Linked DNA regions of Astyanax mexicanus. The protein of the gene in region 2 interacts with the protein of the main gene of each other region in a pairwise test. Links are inferred from orthologs where the notes say so. Each region holds a gene or a part of one and is shown on either strand. Other genes may lie near its edges.

Region 1 (6,325 bases), on a different chromosome or scaffold from region 2:
AGGTGGAAAAACCAGTACCATCACTGCGAGTTTACTACACACCTTAGGGGTGCATTTTTAGACTATACTTAAGTCTTCCTACTACTTAAGGCCTAATCTCCGCATGTGCCAAGTTATGTCATGTTTGCGACAACAGCTGGTAAAAAAAAAGTCCATGTTTCCAGTTACATACAGGAGTCATGGGTGGTCGTACATCATCTTATCTTTTGTAACCGAAAGAAAGCCTCTTTTAGATCAAGAAACCCAATCATCCTCCAGGAACTCAACCATGTAGGCGAAAAAAAGAAAACCCAGCTCTGACCCCAGTGAAACATGCCAGGCCTGCTAATCAGCATCTTTTGATTTGTCTGAACATCAAAGTCTGGTATGTAAAATTAGGAGAAATGTAGAAAGGGAATGGGAAGGCAGACTAGGGCAGCATAATATAATTTAGTGAAGTGAAGGTCTTGAATGAATTCATACAACCACTGAACCACAAATATGGCCTCATTCCTTCTGGATGTCTCATCTTTCTAGTACAGGTGTTCGATAAATTCAACTATATACATGAGTGTACATCCCGTTTGGAAACATAACTATAAACAAATAAATGCACTCCCTAAGGTAGTCAAATTAGTCTAGACCAAAATCTGAATGAAGGTTCACGTTTGTTACACTGCGTACTTTGGATCTAGTTGGTTTTGGTTTCACACTGCAGTTAATAAAGAACTTTCTTCCTGAATGTCCTACTGTCAACACCTAACTAGACAGAGTGTCTCTAACGCATCGGGTCATGAATCAGGTGTTAACATGCTGTCAAGTTCAGCGACTTGCCATTCCAGGTGCTGTGCCAAATTTTGCCTCTCTAGCAGTTCAGATAGCTTTTATGTAAATACATTAAATCAACCTACTGCATGGTTTTAGTTTTATTTTGAAATACAGTTTTATTTACAGCTAAGAATTTCTATTTTTGGTGTATTACCTAAAAATCCATCTAAAGCAAGTAAAGCAAAAATAAGTTTTGTCTGAAGCAAACCCATCTGGAGCTTGTTTGAGAAGAGGTCTCTTGGGTCAGTCATACAGTTGGGGCTTTGACATTAACTAGCTAAGTAGAGTCTGATTGGATGAAATGGGTGCCAACCAGACCTGAACAGATTCACTATTTCCAATACCAAAACAATTTCTTGTTACTAAAAGTCTTGATATATTTGATATGTCTCTCTTCTCTGTTACAATGCCTTTTTAGACTGTTTTGGCTGACACATTACTTATAACTTCTGTGTGAATGGAATGGATGAAAGAGCAGATAGTCTACACAGGCTATATTTTAGTACAGCCTGTTTTTGCAGATTAATATCCACGTGTTCATAGTGTATTCTGCACAACTGTATGTTCTGACCTTTTGGCAAATGTTATTTTAGAAAAGCTTCAGCAACATACAAGTAGGCCCTAAAACCAACTGCAGTGATTTTTACTGGGTGCACAGCATGCATCCAGACCAATCACTGTTCTAGAAGAGTGCTGTGGATATTTGAATGAATCACTCTCGTAGTATGTAAAACTGACATTTGTATATACTGTGCGCAGCTCTACCTCCAGATGTGTAACAGGGCATTCATGTCCTAGCCCTGTCTCTAATCCCTATGAGTAACCTTCTGCCCAAAAATAGTTTTTAAAGGCCACACAGAATTGCAGAGAGTAGCAAGTTCCTTCCTCTATAATCTAAGCAGTGAGGCTTACAGTGTGCAAGCAGTGCAAAAACAAACAAATCTGTGCTCTGACCTTCCAAAACACCAGTTGAAGACCTCTGGCCTTGCTGAAAAGCCACCACTCACCCATTCAGAGATGGAGCAACCACATACCTGTCCAAAGTAGATGTCGGAGGTCGAACACTCATGGCTGCACACCTTCCGAAGCTTGTCCACTCGTCTGTGTAGCGAAATATGGTTAATGTTCAGTCATCATCTCCTTGTGTGAAGGGTCTGTCTCAGCTCTTCTTTTTTTCCTGGGTTCATTCACAACTCCAGCACAACTCTCTCTCTCTGTCTCTCTGGAGCAGCAGTCAAAGTTTCATTTGGGACACTGGTTCAATGGTTCTATCTACTAGCTACCATTCATCTTCTCATTGCATAGAGGAGCCGTAAGGTCCATGCCTGGAGGAGAGCTGGGCAATCTCTTGTTTTTGAATTCAGTGGCTTTGACTAGATGTCCACTAGGTCAGTGTCATGAATCTTGTTCATTAATTTGCACTTATTATGGAGATGTCAACACACTTGGAACAAATTTGCCACAAAACAGAAAAACCACAGTTGTCTGGTCCTGACTTATAAAAGCACAATTGTGTTAAAATGTTTGCTGTGTGAAAAGAAAAGTAGCTACAGAAATTCTGGATAAATGTCACTTCGAGATAACCTACATAACCTAGCTTAGTTAGCTGGCTAGCTGGGGTCACTGCAGCTGCACAGACTTCCACACTAGCTAGCTACAAGCAAATATAGCTACAAAAATGTATATTTATTTATAATTATTACACAGTGATACGATATTTAATTAAAGTGCATCCACCAAACACACCTCCTTTAGTAAAAATCCAACTGTTAGATATAGATTACTGTGGGCTACAAAACAAGCTAGCTAGCTATGTGGCTAATAATATAGCTAGTTAGCTAAGCTGGCTGGCTAACCTAGCTAAGCTAAAGCAGCTAAATATCACTGCGTAGATATTTAGCTACTTATTTCTAAAAATAATAAATAAAAATTACCTTTAGTTAAATGTGTTAGCTAGCTGACCAATAAAATGCACACCACTCCACTCCACTGCACTGCTCAGTCGAATTGCTGCTGCTGTTGTTGTTTTCAGTGCAGCATTAGCTTAGCCTAGCCTAGCCTAGCAACAGAAATCTCCTCCAGTGTTCCAGGCCACACCGAATCCCCGCTCTCGCGTACACACGCCGTCCGCTCGAAACCGCTCCTCCATCGGCTTCACGGCGGTCCAAGAGGCGGCAGCGAGGCCCGTGCAAAATGATAGGTTTGATTAACGCTGGTCAGGAGCAGCTCTGCAGATATTCAGCTTAACGGGAACGGGATTGGATCCAGGACTCGCAGAAAGGGCATAAAACAAAACAGGACAGACTACAAGTCTTTATCAAGTGATACAATCGCTGGTATAGCAACTCTTCAGGCTCTGATAGCCAGCAAGCTTCTTCATCTGATCCTCCAGCTGCTCCATATCAGCTCAGATGCCATTGTCCTGCTCGCCCAGCTCCGCTCTGTCTGTCACCGGGGAACAGACCCTCTGCTCCGGCTCTGGGTCTCCAGACTCTGCTAGCTAGCTATGTGCCCTGGTGCTGCTGCTGCTGTGTTTTAGCAGAAGTGAGAACCCGGCGCTTTTGCTTGGTTGTTTGCTCTCTTGCTGGCTGGATATCGAAACCATTCCACCACAGCCAGCAGCACCACCATCAGCCGTGGGTTTGTGTTTGGTCAGTCTGTCTGCCTGCAGAGGCGAACACAAACCCGCTCAAGCTCTCCATCTACCGGCCACAACCGCTACACCTACCGGGGTACAGAAACTAGGACAATAACCCTGGTAGAATACTGTTTGGGACAGTATGACAATATTGTGAATTTTGACCCTCACAGTGGCGAGTCAGCGGGCAAAAATATTCAAAGAGTTGCCAAATTACTGTTTTAATACATCTTTCTCAGTATATAGGCTTGTGCTTTTATCAGAAACCTGTAAAGAACTTTTAAATAACTGTTTATTCGGCAGTGATAATTGTAAATTTCATAATTTATAGTTTCCTTAACTGAAATTCAAGCACCCTATGTTTTCACCATTTTTAACCCCTTCTATTGCGTTCATTTGCCAGGAACAGCAATGGTGTTCCAGTCCCAGGGTCAGTTTGACCCGGTGCATGTTGAATTATCCAAAATATACCTGAACCCCCCCAAAAATGCTTACATTTTTATTTACAGTGTATATATTTTTTATTAATTGCTAATTATTATATTAATATTGAGTGCAATGGTGTTCCTTACCTTTAACAGGTAATGCTTCAATTACTCAATAACTCATTTTTCATTAAAAAATACATGTTCAAACTTTATTACACTACTTTATTACTTTTAAAAGACCAACATATAAAACAATAGTTTTACAAAACATTAAAACATAACATTGCAATTTTGTTTTAGTTTTAGTTTTTTGCAGGGGGTGGTTGCAAGTATGTGAGATTAACCATTATCATGTTATATGTTGATTACACTAACTAAGACAAGCAGACGAAGTTTCATACTGAAAAAATACTCTTAACTATTTTTTCTAGATCTTTAAACTTTAAAACGGGTCAAATTGACCTGGAACACAACATGAGGTTAAATCAAAATTTCAAGGTATGGTTAAAGGGAACTGCTTATTATTTATTTAAACGATTATTTATTTTTATTAAATGTAAAGGAAACAGCTGTTTGTGCATCACTTTAAATGGTTTTACAAAATAAAAACTAGTTATAAAATAAAAAAGGTTTTATGTGAGAACCTTAATCATGACCACTAAAACATTTAAAGATCAAGACATTTTTTTTACAATATTTAAATATAAGTGTAAGTATTATTTCACCAGTCAACAGCATGTTCAAATACTTGAATGCAATTTTAGTTTATTAACTAAAAGTTATTAAAGCTTGCACAGTAAAATCTATTTAATTTAAAAATTATGTGCAATCATTTTTTTTAAGAATCCAAGGCTAAAAGTGTATGTTGCAAGTTGAACACAGTACAAAATATATGTAAATGTATATTTATAACTATATTTGTTTACTTGATTATTCTTTGAATTTTCTTGGAAATTATGTGCCTACACTTTGGTTTCATTTCGGTGGTCTTTTGCTTCTGAAATCTCATTTTTTTTTGTTTTTTTGCTTCTGTATATATCTGCCATTTTGATTGCAGATTTCATATTTCTGCCACAAAATTAATTCCATAAAAATCTCTTTACCAAATTAACATGTATTTTTATTGTACATAGATGAAATATGATTTTATACAATTTGTTTTTAAACTTTTTTGTTTTGCTTTTTTTTTTAAAATATTGTAAGTTTAAAACATCTCTCTTACATAAGCTGTCCCCTAGTTGGCTCCTCTAGTGTTTGGGAATCCCCTTGGAATCTGATCACTGCAATTGGGCAAAGGACAGATGAGTAACAGGACAGGGGCATTGCAGGGGGCCAATCAGATTTCAGCTGTGGCCCCGCCCCTACACAACAACACCGACATTTCTAATTCTTTTGGTCATTTGACATATTTGACATATATTTACCTAATCATTTTATAAAGTATAATTTTCACTTACATGCATTTGTCATGGTAAGCTGCACACCAGGGTGTAAACGAAAATCTACTTGGGTCAGTGTAACATCAGTTGAATTTTAAGCATTTTATTTTTACATTTTGGGTCTAAATTCTAAAATAGACAACTGGGTGCAAAACGTCAATGTTATTTTTTCCCCTATTTAATAAAGAAAAAATGGTTAATTTCCACTCCTCACTATCAGAATTTTAGCGAAAATAAAGCTGAATCTTTACTTGATTATTTACATTTCCATTTATGCATCCTAGATGAGTAGGTTGTATTTTACCATCAGACTGGGTGAGAAAAATCAAGATTATTCTTTTTATTTTTCCTGGAATTCTGTCCGTGAGAGTGAGAAGTGGAAAAGTAGAAAGATGTTTATTTATTTTCACATTAAGCCTCAAATTCAGAGAATTGAAGTTGCAGATTTTTTCATGGTGACCTTGTTCTGTATTAAATATACATTTGAATTTTAATTAGCATATTTAATCTCAACAGGGTGGACATGGTCAATGTTTATCAGATCAGTTTTCTGATTCTTTCAGACTGATTCTTTTTGTATCTCAAAATAATCACTTAGTATCTCAAAATAATGACTAAGTATCTCAAAATAATGAATTAGTATCTTAAAATAATGACTTAGTATCTCAAAGTAATAACTTAAGTATCTCAAAATATCGGGATAATATTTCAAAATAGCGACTTAGTATGTCAAAATAAGGACGTATTATTTCAAAATAACGATTTAGTACCTCAAAATACAAGGATAGTATTTCAAAATAACAAATCAGTATTTCAAAATAATGATTAGTATGTCAAAATAAGGACTTGGTATTTTAGAATAATTACTTTAATATCAAAATAAGGAATTAGTATCTCAAAATAGTGACTTTAAAATGACGACTTAGTATTTCAAGATAATTGATTTAGTAATTAGATAAAAATAATTATAACATCTCAAAATAATTAGATAGCAATTTACCTAATTATGAGGA
Region 2 (6,325 bases):
CAGGATGCTCAGGATTTGTCACTCTCTCACTATGGGTGTTTATTTCTCTTTCTCGTACGGTCGCGTACGGTACATTCTCTCGCTCTATCACACATTAACGACAGGTTTACAATAAAAAAAAAAACGCCTCAACTATTCTTTATAGTCAACATTGTCGATAACGCCGACTAATCGCTGCAGCCGTACACAACTCACACACACTCACTAACTAACACACCCCCACCATGCCAATCAGTGTCACTGCAGTGTAATTATACTGTACAAACAATGTACACTGATGAATATGGAAAACCCATAATCCATTTGCATTGTTTGGATTGGAGATTGGCGCTCAGCTTCTCTGAGGAAGTGCGTTGACTTCCAGTTTACGACGTTCCATTTATGCACCGCAATCTGCTGTCCTACAGCAATGATCTCACACACATACAGAGTCAGAAATCATTTATTACCTTTCCAAATTATGTTCCCGCTCTATATAACTGCGCTTTATATCAGCATCATTCAGTAACAAACTATGTTCCTTGTTTTGTAAATGATGCACAGAAAAGCGACGCCCACACCTCTTAATAAAATAAGGTGTAGCATTTTGGGTAACAACACCAACTTCCCCATGGCAGACTAGGGGTTTAATTCCCTGACTGAGCAAACACACCACTCTACATTACTTCTGCATTCCTTGTCAATGATTGACCGTATCCAATTATATCATCCTACATAATAGGACTGACTGTGACTCCTGACTGTAAGTGTGGACCAACCGATGCTAAGAGCTCTCAGAACTCAGCATGACCATCAAAAACCATATGATGAAACTGGCTCTCATCAGGAATACCCCAGGAAAGGGAGAGCAAGAGTTTTCTCTGTTGTACAGGATAAGAGTTACCAGCCTCAGAAACCGCACTTTTAAATGTTTTGCATTGTAGATTTATACTGGTTATCCAAACTACAAAGAAAAACATAAGTCTACCAGAATATTTTTTATGTTTGAGATTTTTCACAGTAGGCACCTCTTGCTTAGATGACAGCATTTTCTTAGTTTTCTCAGATTTATGAGTTAGAGCAACCTGAAATTTCAGGCTTACAGTTATCAGGCTTGCAGTCACCGCAAAGACCATTAAAATGTAATGATGAAACTGGCTCTCATCAGGAATACCGCAGGAAAGGAAGAGCTAGAGTTTCCTCTATTGCACAGGATAAGAGCACATAAATGCTTCACAGAGTATTTTTTAGGTTTGTTCAACACTTTTAAGTTCCTACTTGATTCCTTATGTTTTCCTTCATAGTCTGGATCACTTCAATATTCATTTACTATGCAGGAACAAAAAGAAGAACGTTGAATGAGAAGGTGTATACAAACTTTTGACTCTTTTGGTACTGTACATGATACACAAACACACACACACACACACGCACACACACCAAAACACTCATAAATCATGGTTATTTGTTTAAGTACCACTACTTCTAGTGATTTACTGTTAAATACTGCCCTGTTCCACTGCTGTTTTATTGTGCAGACTATGGAATAAACTGGGAAACACACTGACCTGATGCCACAACTCAACTTAACGTCAGAGGGAAATTAATATACTTGAATTAACTCACATTACTGAGATCATTTAACACTAATTAATCACAAACAAACACAATAAGGTTTCATTCCCCACTGTAAGAGTTAATCCAGCACTTAGTTATGACATGTGTCCTTTCTACCCCAGTGCTCTACTTTCATGACCCAGTCGGCTTTTGTGTGTGTGTGTGTGTGTGTGTGTGAGTGAACAGGCCGAACTCTCGAAACTTCAGAGAGTTCACAGTGAAGTCTTCACTTCATTACCACCCACAGCCCTCCACTGACCCCCGCAGTGTTCACTCCACTCATATAGCTCTGAAATCAAAGAACTGCTTCAGTCATAAAATGTGATTTACTCTTTTATCCTTACCACTGATTGGCTGAAACATGCCGTATGAAGTCCTATCACTTCTATGCAGTGGAGTTTACATTGGAGTACTACAATACTATACGACTCACTGGAGCATAAAAACATGAATTTAATGTAAGGCAAAAAAAGGTAAAAGCTCGAGTAGCATGAAGTTATCCAAAAGCAGTGTGTAAGACTGGTGGAGGAGAACATGATGCCAAGGTGCATGAAAACTGTAATTAAAAGCAGGAATATTCCACCAAATATTGATTTCTGAATAATGAACCTGTTTTCTTTGCATTTTTGAAGTCTGAACGCTCTGCATCTTTTTTGTTATTTCAGCCATTTCATATTTTCTGGTCTCTTAATTTTTTTCCAGAGCTGTATATATGGGGATAAATAAAGTTTGAACCACTCCATCTGATTCAGCTGTTTATATAAATTTTTGACAGTTCAGCTTTAATCGAGAACAAAACAAGAATTAATTTTTGTACAAGAATGCCTATTAGCTCACTGTTAATTAGATTTACTTTACTTAAATTAAATAATTAGACTTTACTGGGTACTGGAGTTGAGTGAGCAATGACAAAAAGTACCAGTCAAAAGTTTGGAGACACCTTAAATTCAGTGGTTTTTCATTGTTTTAAAATGTTCTGCACTGTAATACTAATGTCATTCAAACTATGAAGCAAAACACAACAAACAAAACCCACAAATTCGTACAGCTCTTCATGCTTTCCTCTGCTAACAACTTTTATGAAGATTTCATTTTCCAGCAGGACTTCTTGGCAAATTGCCCACACTGCCAACAGTACCAACTGGTCTTATATAATATTCTAATTTTTACGTTTTGAACTGAATTACTGAAATGAAGGAACTTTACAATGATTTTTTTTAGTAAACCTTGCTGTTATCAGCTGAGCACTGGAGGTTGGTGCAGGTGGACCGAGCGCCCTTCCTGAATCTCCCCGGACTGCGCGCACTGCTTCCCCGCTGCCTGCCTGTCTCTCTCACCGGCGCTGGTAAAAAACACCCGGAGCTACCGGGCATGAGGAGGAAAGAATGCGAGCTATTCACCCTCCTCTCCCGGCCGGCTCAGCTTACACACACCGCCGCAGGCTCCACCACACCACCCAGCCGGGGCACGAAGGGTCAACAGACTGCGTGACTTTTATTAACGTAAACCAAGATATATAGGTTAGATAAATATATATCTTATCTTAGTTTGGGTTTATAGATATTAAAGTTTCCAAATTAAATGCAACATATCGACAAAACAACTACAATAACCTTAAACAATGTTTCATAAACCTGTTTTTATAATAATAAACCGGTTAACATCTACTAAAACTAACTTTAAATTAGAATTTAATCATACCACCTTAAATAGAGCAGCATCCCATTGAAAGATACCGGCGCCTCCAGGCGACACAACGCAGCCGCTGCCCCATTTAAGGTGGAATTGTTAATTCGCAAAATTAGACTATTAAAACAACTTCAGTTTCGCCTCAAAAGCACAAAATATTAAGCCGTAAAGTGTCTCTTACCGTCCGCAGCCGATAAAATAGCTGTGTTCCCCGTCTGGATAAAAAAAAATACTGCCCGGTATATAGAGTCTGTCCAGGGTTCTGGAGTGTTTTATTCACGCGTTGAAGCAGCAGAAATGTGTCCGCTGGAGGGTCCTCCGCCCCCCGCTGCTGCCGCTGCTGCTGCCGCCGCTGGAGAGGAGCGACACGAAAACTTCTCCTAAAACGAAGGTGTGGAACCCACAATGCAACACGTGGAGTTGGGTGGGAAAAAATTAACCAAATAAATAATAAAAACACGCTGGTTCAGTGTGAAGATGCGGCTGGGTGCACGCGCGTGGCTTCAGCGCCTCCCATTGGTCCAAGTGGAAGCGTGCTATCTGAATGAAGAATGATAATTTATTACCTCATTCAGCTCTGTAAAAAAAATCAAAATATTATAATTTAGAGCATTTATTTGCAGAAAATTTGAGAAATGGCTGAAATTACAAAAAAGATGCAGAACTTTCAGAGAACAAGTTCATATTCATAAAGTTTTACGAGTTCAGAAATCAATATTTGGAATGCTTTCATGCATCTTGACATGTTCTCCTCCACCAGTCTTACACACTGCTTTTGGATAACTTTATGCCTTTACTCAAGCAGTTCAGCTTGGTTTGATGGCTTGTGATCATCCATCTTTCTGTTGATTATATTCCAGAGGTTTTCAATTTGGTAAAATCAAAGAAAAACATCTTTATTAATTGGTCTATTTCTTTTTTTGCATACATACACCATTATAGGATAAAAGTAAATTATCCTCTGCTGCACTGTACAAAGTATATTTTAAGTATAGTTGAGTATATCTGAAGTAATGAAATACAAATCTGCCCAACACTTTAAATCAATTATGTTACAAACCTTTGACGAATAGTCCACCTCCATTAATGTCTTAGACTGTGGGTTGCAGATTACATTGTGGATATTTGATACTTTAATATATGGTAGATACATCATATTAGAATAAGTAATCGTAATTAGAATGAGTAATTAGTAAGTAATTATTCAGAGAAAACCCAAAGCACTGTACCACTTCTCTGGTAATGCTCTGTCAGGCTTTTACCACAGCTGTAAATCTGTTTATCTGTCTATAAGACATTGTTCCAGATCTGTGCAGGGTTTTAGGTGTTAGTGAATCTCCTATCTGGTCTTCCTGTGCTTGAGGTTCACCACTGCTTGCATCCTGTGGTAGATGTATGCATGTTCTTAGGGGAAGTCTTCTGTAAATAGTTGATTTTGACTCAGATTCACCTACAGCTTCTTGATGTGGCTGTCTGAGTGATAGAAAGGGTTTTTTCTAAACAAAGGAAACAGTTCTGACAGCTTTCCCCACAGTTCATTTCCATGGTCTTATGGTACTTTTGCATTTCTTAGTTCACTGGTGTTTTTTATTTGCTAGATTTGGCCACATCTTATGTTTTCTGCATCTTTCAAGATGGGTTTCTTTTACATTTTCAGGCAAAAAAAAAATGGTTTTGCCAGCAGTGATGGCTTTTTGAATTTCACATTTAAAAATGAGGGTGCCCTCGTGTCTGTGCTACCATCTGGCAGTTTTCCTTTTAGTTAGGTTTTTATAGGCAGATCTGTTGGAGTTGTTCTGATTATCAGATAGTCTGTTCACATTCTCTGTTCTCCATAATTCCAAACAGAACGTTATGTTTACATTTTTCGAAAGTAAGGACCTGTATGGGCTGATATTGTACAAGAGAGTTAACTCTTCCTCTTCCGGTCCTGATGAGTGCCAGTTTCATCATACCATTTTTAATCGTCTTTGCAGACGCACTTGAGGATAATTTCAAAATTTGTAAACTTTTTCGGCCTTCATTTCTTAAGTTTTATTAATTAGTGTTAATTACTGTATACCAACTCTACCTCTTAAAAAACTGATGCTCTCAAACACTCTTGAGTTCAGCACAGCTGTTAACTGAAGGCCATTACCTCTGAAGGCCATGACTTCCAGGCAAGAAATTTCAAGATGTGCAAAGCTGTCATCTAAGTAAGAGATGCTACTTTAAAGATTTAGAAAATTAAGCTTGTTAAAAAGAATTTATCCTGCTTTTGTTGGAATAACCGTCTCTACTAGAGTTTGGAGAAGAAGCATTGCTATAAGCATTTGATTACTTTCAGCGACATAAGCATAAGTGAGGTCAGTATGTTGGAAAATCATCACCCTGCTTTATCCAAAACTCATCCTAAAAGTTTTGGATGGAGCTCCATTGTTCCAGAGAACATAGACTTACTGCTAAACAGATAAATGCTGTGGGAGCTTTATACCTCTTTACCTGGCGTTAGACACTGTGCCAGTAGATTCATCACAGGTTTATCTGCTCCAGAATGTCCTATTCTTTTGCCGATACTCCGTACAGTATTTGTACATCTGTGTCAGCAATGGGTTTAACTTTAATAGCTGAATGCAACCATTAAAACAGGTGTCCAGAAACACTTTGACACAGGGGCAGGTTTCCCAGTTCCCAAAATGACTAAGCCTAGTACTGGACTACACAGGATTTTAAATGAAGATCAGCCACTGAAAGGAAAGAGCATTGTATGAATAGGCCTAATCTCTGTCCGGGAAACTGATCCACAGTGTTTATTTAGCATGCACATTAGCAAATTACTAAGCTAGCCACTATAAACAAGGTTGAGTGTATTCAGGCCATACAGTAAAGCCAGAAATCGATTTAAATATTTCTGTTATTGTAGTATTTTAACATAACTATACTGAAAAAAAACTCAAACAAAGTGAATGGGGTGTGTATCTCTACACGAAATGTTTTATTACATTGCATGAATGTAGGAAAATAGACATGCAGGCAAATGTGCAAATTAAATGTCTATTAT

The links.
Region 1: the proteins of plxnb3 (region 2) and arhgef11 interact in a two-hybrid assay, tested with the Homo sapiens proteins (2 studies listed by BioGRID and IntAct). The link is inferred for Astyanax mexicanus from reciprocal best matches to the Homo sapiens genes PLXNB3 and ARHGEF11.

Annotation. Positions count from the first base shown.
Region 1 is NC_064415.1:12,358,119-12,364,443, reverse strand, and holds the start of arhgef11 (rho guanine nucleotide exchange factor 11), read right to left. Parts: upstream 3,479-6,325; 5' UTR 1,877-3,478; coding exon 1,842-1,876; intron 1-1,841. UniProt on the Homo sapiens protein: May play a role in the regulation of RhoA GTPase by guanine nucleotide-binding alpha-12 (GNA12) and alpha-13 (GNA13). Acts as guanine nucleotide exchange factor (GEF) for RhoA GTPase and may act as GTPase-activating protein (GAP) for GNA12 and GNA13.
Region 2 is NC_064419.1:4,447,636-4,453,960, reverse strand, and holds the start of plxnb3 (plexin-B3), read right to left. Parts: upstream 3,678-6,325; 5' UTR 3,467-3,677; intron 1-3,466. UniProt on the Homo sapiens protein: Receptor for SEMA5A that plays a role in axon guidance, invasive growth and cell migration. Stimulates neurite outgrowth and mediates Ca(2+)/Mg(2+)-dependent cell aggregation.